2 linked regions of the Macaca fascicularis genome follow. The protein of the gene in region 2 purifies or fractionates together with the protein of the main gene of each other region. This does not show direct contact. Links are inferred from orthologs where the notes say so. Each region holds a gene or a part of one and is shown on either strand. Other genes may lie near its edges.

The links. Proteins that work in one complex are often made in the same cells at the same time.
Region 1: the proteins of PAN2 (region 2) and PAN3 purify together in Homo sapiens (co-immunoprecipitation; 5 studies listed by BioGRID and IntAct, with this or other methods). This does not show direct contact. The link is inferred for Macaca fascicularis from reciprocal best matches to the Homo sapiens genes PAN2 and PAN3.

What each region holds. Positions count from the first base shown.
Region 1 is NC_088391.1:8,180,425-8,183,924, forward strand, and holds part of PAN3 (PAN2-PAN3 deadenylation complex subunit PAN3), read left to right. Parts: intron 1-1,405; coding exon 1,406-1,653; intron 1,654-3,500. UniProt on the Homo sapiens protein: Regulatory subunit of the poly(A)-nuclease (PAN) deadenylation complex, one of two cytoplasmic mRNA deadenylases involved in general and miRNA-mediated mRNA turnover.
Region 2 is NC_088385.1:63,121,301-63,124,800, reverse strand, and holds part of PAN2 (PAN2-PAN3 deadenylation complex catalytic subunit PAN2), read left to right. Parts: intron 1-2,094; coding exon 2,095-2,252; intron 2,253-2,351; coding exon 2,352-2,495; intron 2,496-2,628; coding exon 2,629-2,838; intron 2,839-2,933; coding exon 2,934-3,027; intron 3,028-3,500. UniProt on the Homo sapiens protein: Catalytic subunit of the poly(A)-nuclease (PAN) deadenylation complex, one of two cytoplasmic mRNA deadenylases involved in general and miRNA-mediated mRNA turnover.

The DNA of each region.
Region 1 (3,500 bases), on a different chromosome or scaffold from region 2:
AGTGTTGGCTTTGCTGTTGACTTTGCATGTATGTCCTGTGGTGTTTATAGCCCGACTTACCTCACCTGCCTATTTAGTTGCTCAGAAAACCAGAAATAATTATGTTGAGGCTCTTCAGAAAGTACAGAGGGCTATTCAGAGAAAAGAAAAGTATTACTTCAGTTCTCTGCTTATTTTTGTTCACCTACATGTTTTCAGAAAACATGTTGGTATCTTATGAATTATTAGACATTGAAACTCATATCCCTGGTAATCATAATTTTGTGACTAGAGGCATTTTTTGGTAACCCTTTTCTTGTATTGTGAGGTGGCATATTACCTCAGTGTTGAAGGTTTTTAGGCATTCACCAAATAGCCAGAAAACAGTTCCTGGATAAGCTCTTTTTTTTTCAGGAAGAGTAACTGTTGCTCTAAATACCCTTTTTAATCTGCTCAGAACTGATCACTCCATTAAGCCTTTGATTAACTCTACCTGGTTTTAATTAATTTGCATTTCATCAGCATTTATGCATGTAGTTGTAGTGCATTAGTGTATATATATTTTTTTAAGTTATTTTATGTCTTTTACATGTGACCTGGTCTTTTTTTCTCAGCTAGCTTGGAATCTCCTGAAGGGTAAAGACAATTGTCCTTTCCCTTTCTCCAATGATAGAGGGTGCTCTGCACATAATGTTTCTTATTGGTTGTGGTGGTTCCTCTAGAACATAATGGTATCAATTGGCCTAATTTTAAATAGTACGCATCTGTAGAAATTTTCAGGATATGCCTGTTTAGAGTTAATGACAAAAAGGCATCAGAACAACAGACTGCTTGATATTAAACATATGGCACTTAAGCTGCTATGTATTTCAACTTTTTTTTTTTTTTTTTGCTTTTTCAAACAATTTTGTTAATTATATTTGGCTGAATGAAATCTAGTAGCTCTTCATAGATAATTTGAATTTTTAATACTGTAATATGTTTGGGGAATGTGCTATTTGTATTGTTAATGATTCTTAATAAAAAAGGAATTATGCCTTTTATAAAAGTTTTTCTTTTATAAAAGGCTTAATTTTATAAAGAGCCCCAATTCGGTTACTTCCCACCCTTCCATTAATTTATTAAATTTTTGGTCATTCTTGCTATTAAAGTTTGTGATGTAAACCTTGATATGGAGGAGACTGTTCTTTCAATAAATCTGCTAACATATTTGGGAATAACTACATTTGAAAAAAGAAACTTTACATTTGCTTTAGTCAGAGCTTTTTCTACAACAAAACAAGATAAAATTATTTCCTTCATCTTTGTGCACTTAAGATCCCAAAGATGATGTTTCTTCCAAATGAATGTTTGCATTTTATTTTCCAGACTTTTTCTCTAAAACCATTTATTGCTCCATTAAGAAACATTTTTACATCTTCTTCAGGAATGTCGTTGTCTGCTGGGTCTTCCCCTCTTCATTCCCCCAAGATTACTCCACATACTTCTCCTGCTCCCAGAAGAAGAAGTCACACTCCAAATCCAGCAAGTTACATGGTGCCTTCTAGTGCCTCTACATCTGTTAATAATCCTGTTTCTCAGACTCCATCTTCTGGTCAGGTGATCCAAAAGGAAACTGTTGGTGGAACGACTTACTTCTATACAGACACAACTCCAGCACCTTTGACTGGAATGGTATGTTTGCATTAAAGAGGACATTTTAGTACTCTCTTGTAACAGGTCCTTTTAGTAATGAGGTGGTCCACCCCCTCCTGCAGCTTTTTATTGTGATGCAAAAAAGTATTTCATTTTCTCACTTAGATGAGAAGTCTAGTCTCTTCTCAACTCTTCAAATTTATCTAGTTCTGCCTTACTAATAACTCTAGTTTTAGACTAATCTGGTTTAATCAGAAATTAGATTATATCCATGCTCTTACTTTAGTACTCTATGGCATGTTTTGCTTATGGGTTTACCTTGTACTAGCTGGAGTTGATGCCTGCTGACATTTGTTTTTAGGTATAGATAGTTTAACCTCTAGTAAGAAGCTAGAAAAAGTAGATGGTATGTCCTCAGTAGTTACTGGAAGCAAATCAATGATAAACCCTTATTTCAGATGAGGTGGTTATTTAACAGCTAGATCTGTGGATGGTGGAGTGACACATAGTGATAAGGGGCCTGCAGTATGGCCCTTTGCTAAGGAGGTAGAAGAGTCAGACCAAAGAGAGCCATGATTATAGATGAGGAAAGAGTTACCAAAGGACTGGTGATGAAGTGAGAGAAGAATCATGAAACAGTTGGGAAGAGGTGGCCCCAGAGGAGACATGAATATGAAGACCAAGAGAGGAAGAACATGGCCAGAAAGAAAGATTTCTTATCAGAGTCAATTAGTAATGTTCCAGGACAGGGAGAAGGGACAGGAGTCAAGGGGGCGAGAATGAATGGAGAAGGAGAGGGAAGGATTCCATGTTATGTAAATTGTACCTTTTTTAGCTTCATTACTTCGTCCGTATTCAAAAATTATTTTATTTACCCTAGAAAAATAAGTAGTAGATGAAGGCCTCATGAGTGAGAAAGCCAGAGTCCACTAAAACAGGGGTCCCTAATCCTTGAACCATAGACCAGTGTTAGGAACCAGGCCTCACAGCAGGAGGTGAGCAGTGGGCAAGTAAGTGAAGTTTCATCTGTATTTACACCCACTCCCCATTGCTCTCATTACCATCTGAGCTCCTCCTTGTGTCAGATCAGTGGCGGCATTAGATTCCATAGGAACATGAACCCTGTTGTAAACTGTGCATGCCAAGGATCTAGGTTGTGTGCTCCTTATGAGAATCTAGTCCTTGATGATCTGTCACTGTTTCCCATCACGCCCAGATGGGACTGCCTAGTTGCAGGAAAACAAGCTCCCATTGATTCTATATTACGGTAAGTTGTATAATTATTTCATTATATGTTACAATGTGATAATAATAGAAATAAAGTGCACAATCAATGTAATGCATTTGAATCATGCCAAAAATATCCCTTCACCCCCACCCCCTTGTCCATGGAAAAATTGTCTTCCGCGAAATCAGTCCCTGGTGCCAAAAAGGTTGGGGATTGCTACATTAAAATAACGGAAGCTGATCTAATCTATAGACATTTGACAGTCATAGATGATAGGCTTATATGAAACATTATTTGGATTTCAATATGCCGTTTTGATCCTCAAAGTTAACTTATTTTGATTGAATTTAATATTTTACTAAGAGAATTTGAGTGAAAAGAAAGCATACTTCTTTTTTTTGTTTGCGCCACATTGTTTTTAGACTCGTGAATCTATGTACTTATGAAACTGTTTCTCCAATTGTAAAATAAGGATATTAATACCTAACTATTCTATGAGAAATAGATGTGAAAACATTTATAGAAATAGTTGTAAGTCATGTAAACTGCTTTTTAAAAATAATAAAATAGCTAACAGTTTTGTGGGCTTTTTAAAAATCAGAAATCTTTCAAACATTATCACAGAACCACTTTCCAAACAGAAGATCAAAAAAATAGG
Region 2 (3,500 bases):
ACCCTGTCTCTACAAAAATTACAAAAAGTAGCTGGGTGTGGTGATGTGCTCCTGTTGTCTCAGCTACTTGGGAGGCTGAGGCAGGAGAATCACTTCAGCCTGGGAGTCGGAGGTTTCAGTGAGTCGAGATTGCGTCATTGCACTCTAGCCTGGGTGACAAGAGTGAAACCCTGTCTCAAAAAAAAAAAAAAAAAATTTAGCTGAGTGTGGTAGCATATATTTGTGGTCCCAGCTAAAGCTGGAGAGGCTGAGGTGGGAAGATCACCTGAGCCCAGGAGGCCAAGGCTACAGTGAGTAAGCCATGATTGTACCAGAGTGTACTCTAGCCTAGGCAACAGGATGAGACCGCTTTTTTTTTTTGGACAGAGTATCACTCTTGTTGCCCAGGCTGTAGTGCAATGGCACAATTTTGGCTCACTGTGACCTCCACCTCCCGGGTTCAAGCAGTTCTCCTGCCTCAGCCTCCTGAGTAGCTGGGACTACAGGTGCCTGCCACCATGCCCGGCTAATTTTTTGTATTTTTAGTAGAGACGGGGTTTCACCATGTTGGCCAGGTTGGTTTTGAACTCCTGACCTCGTGATCTGCCCGCCTTGGCCTCCCAAAATGCTGGGATTACAGCCGTGAGCCACGGTGCCCAGCCTGAGACCCTGTCTTTAAAAAAACAAAACAAAACAAAAAAAAAAAACGCTGTAAATCTTGAGAGTGGAGTGGAAATGAGATGAGGGGGGACATTTGGTCCGAATGGCTTAGGTTATGATGTTATATCTAATTATTTTTTGTGGGACAGAGTTTTGCTCTTGTTGCCCAGGCTGGAGTGCAATGCGTGATCTTGGCTCACTGCGACCTCTGCCTCCCGGGTTCAGGTGATTCTCCTGCCTCAGCCTCCCAAGCAGTTGGGATTACAGACAGGTGCCACTACGCCTAGCTAATTTTTTTGTTTTTTGTCTAATTAGTAGAGACGGGTTTCACCATGTTGGCCAGGCTGGTCTCAAACTCCTGACCTGGTGATCTGCCTGCCTTGGCCTCCCAAAGTACTGGGATTACAGGCGTAAGCCACTGCGCCTGTCTCATGTCTAATTATTCTTTTTTATTTATTTATTTTTTTTTTTTTGAGACGGAGTCTCGCTCTGTCGCCCAGGCTGGAGTGCAGTGGCCGGATCTCAGCTCACTGCAACCTCCGCCTCCTGGGTTTACGCCATTCTCCTGCCTCAGCCTCCCGAGTAGCTGGGACTACAGGTGCCCGCCACCTCACCCGGCTAGTTTTCTGTATTTTTTTTTTTTTTTTTTTAGTAGAGACGGGGTTTCACCGTGTTAGCCAGGATGGTCTCGATCTCCCGACCTCGTGATCCGCCCGTCTCGGCCTCCCAAAGTGCTGGGATTACAGGCTTGAGCCACCGTGCCCGGCCGTCTAATTATTCTTACCCCAAATGAAGATCTCTTTTGGAGGTGAGCTCCTTTTTTTTTTTTTTTTTTTTTTTTAGATGAAGTCTTGCTCTTGTTCCCCCAGGCTGGAGTGCGATGGCGCGATCTCAGCTCACTGCAACCTCTGCCTCCGGGGTTCAAGTGATTCTTCTGCCTCAGCCTCCTGAGTAGCTGGGATTACAGGCGCGTACCACCACACCTGGCTAATTTTTGTATTTTTAGTAGAGACAGGGTTTCACCATGTTGGCCAGGCTGGTCTTACACTCCTGACCTCAGGTGATCTGCCCGCCTTGGCCTCCCAAAGTGCTGGGATTATAGGCATGAGTCACCACGCCCAGCTGTGAGCTCCTTATTAAGTACCTATTTGGTATCTTTAAACCATAGTTTCTCTGTAACCTTTTTCTGGATTCTCTAAACTAAGGTCCAAGTGAAAATCTTATTCTTTATTCTCTGTGGTCTTTTCTGGTTTTTTTCTCAGCATGTTTGTTGATAATTTTGTGATGTGACCTGCTCTGTCTACCTGTCCCATTTATCACACATGATCTTTTTTCTCACGTGCTTTGATTATTGAGGGGTCAAGTGAAGACCCAGAGTCTATCAGCCACATTGGGCTTCTCTCCCCTAGTCACTTCGCTATCCAAGCCCTGTGTCCTCTTCATTCTCCCTTCTAGTCAAGAACCCTATTGAGGCAAGTGTCTTGCTGGCTGAAGCCTCGCTGGCACGGAAGCAGCGGAAAACACATACTACCTTTATTCCACTGATGCTGAATGAGATGCCACAGATTGGGGACCTGGTGGGTCTGGATGCTGAGTTTGTCACCCTTAATGAGGTAACCAAGACCAAAGGGATGGGGCATTGGAAGAGAACTCTGAGGATATTAGGAGTTGTAAGCATTTCTCTGATTTCCTTATTAACTCTTCTCATGTAGGAGGAAGCAGAGTTACGCAGTGATGGTACCAAGTCTACCATTAAACCAAGTCAGATGTCAGTAGCCAGGATTACCTGTGTCCGGGGCCAGGGACCTAATGAGGGTATCCCCTTCATTGATGACTACATCTCTACCCAGGAGCAGGTATTAAGATACAGAGATGCAAGTGAGGCACACCCTGGTACTTATGTACAGTGCTCAAGAACCCAGGGAAGAGTGATAGGGGAAAACTCCACCTCACTTCCTGAAAAAGACTTGTCCTTTTCTCTATTCCTAGGTGGTGGATTACTTGACTCAATACTCGGGTATAAAGCCTGGTGACCTCGATGCCAAAATTTCCTCCAAGCACCTAACAACTCTCAAGTCTACCTACTTAAAGCTTCGTTTTCTCATTGACATTGGAGTCAAGTTTGTGGGTCATGGCCTGCAGAAGGACTTCCGGGTCATCAACCTGATGGTTTGGCAGGGCTCTTTTAAGAGTCTTCTTGTGAGAGTGGGCCCCTCAGGGTATACACTGTGCCTTCAGAGAATGGGAAATTATAGTCCCCTACCTTAAGTCTCCCCCTCTTTTATCTTTGCCAGGTGCCCAAGGACCAAGTCCTTGATACTGTCTACCTGTTCCACATGCCCCGAAAACGAATGATTTCCCTGCGATTCCTTGCTTGGTACTTTCTGGGTGAGTTGCTCTGCCTTGTAGGCCCCTGTGGTGTACATTAATAGCAGAAGCAGCCATTTAAAAAAAAAGCAATCGTGTCCTTTGCAGCAACATGGATGGAGCTGTGGGCCATCATACTAAGTGAACTAACTCAGAAACAGAAAATCAGATACCACATATTCTCACTTATAAGTTGGAACTAAACAATGAGTACATATGGACATAAGGATGGAAATAATAGACACTGGGGACTCTAAAAGTGGGGTTGGTGGGGGATGGGTGAGGGTTGAAAATTACGTATTGGCTGCATAGTTCACTATTTGCATATTAGGGATACCAGAAGCCCAGTCCTCACCAGTACATGATATACCCATGTAGCAAATATGCACATGTACCCCAAATCTAAAATAAAATTTAAACATAAAAAATAAAAGCATGGGGGGAAAAGACAAAGTAGGAAAAGTGTTAAGAGGACAAAGTGGGAGTAGGGGTGA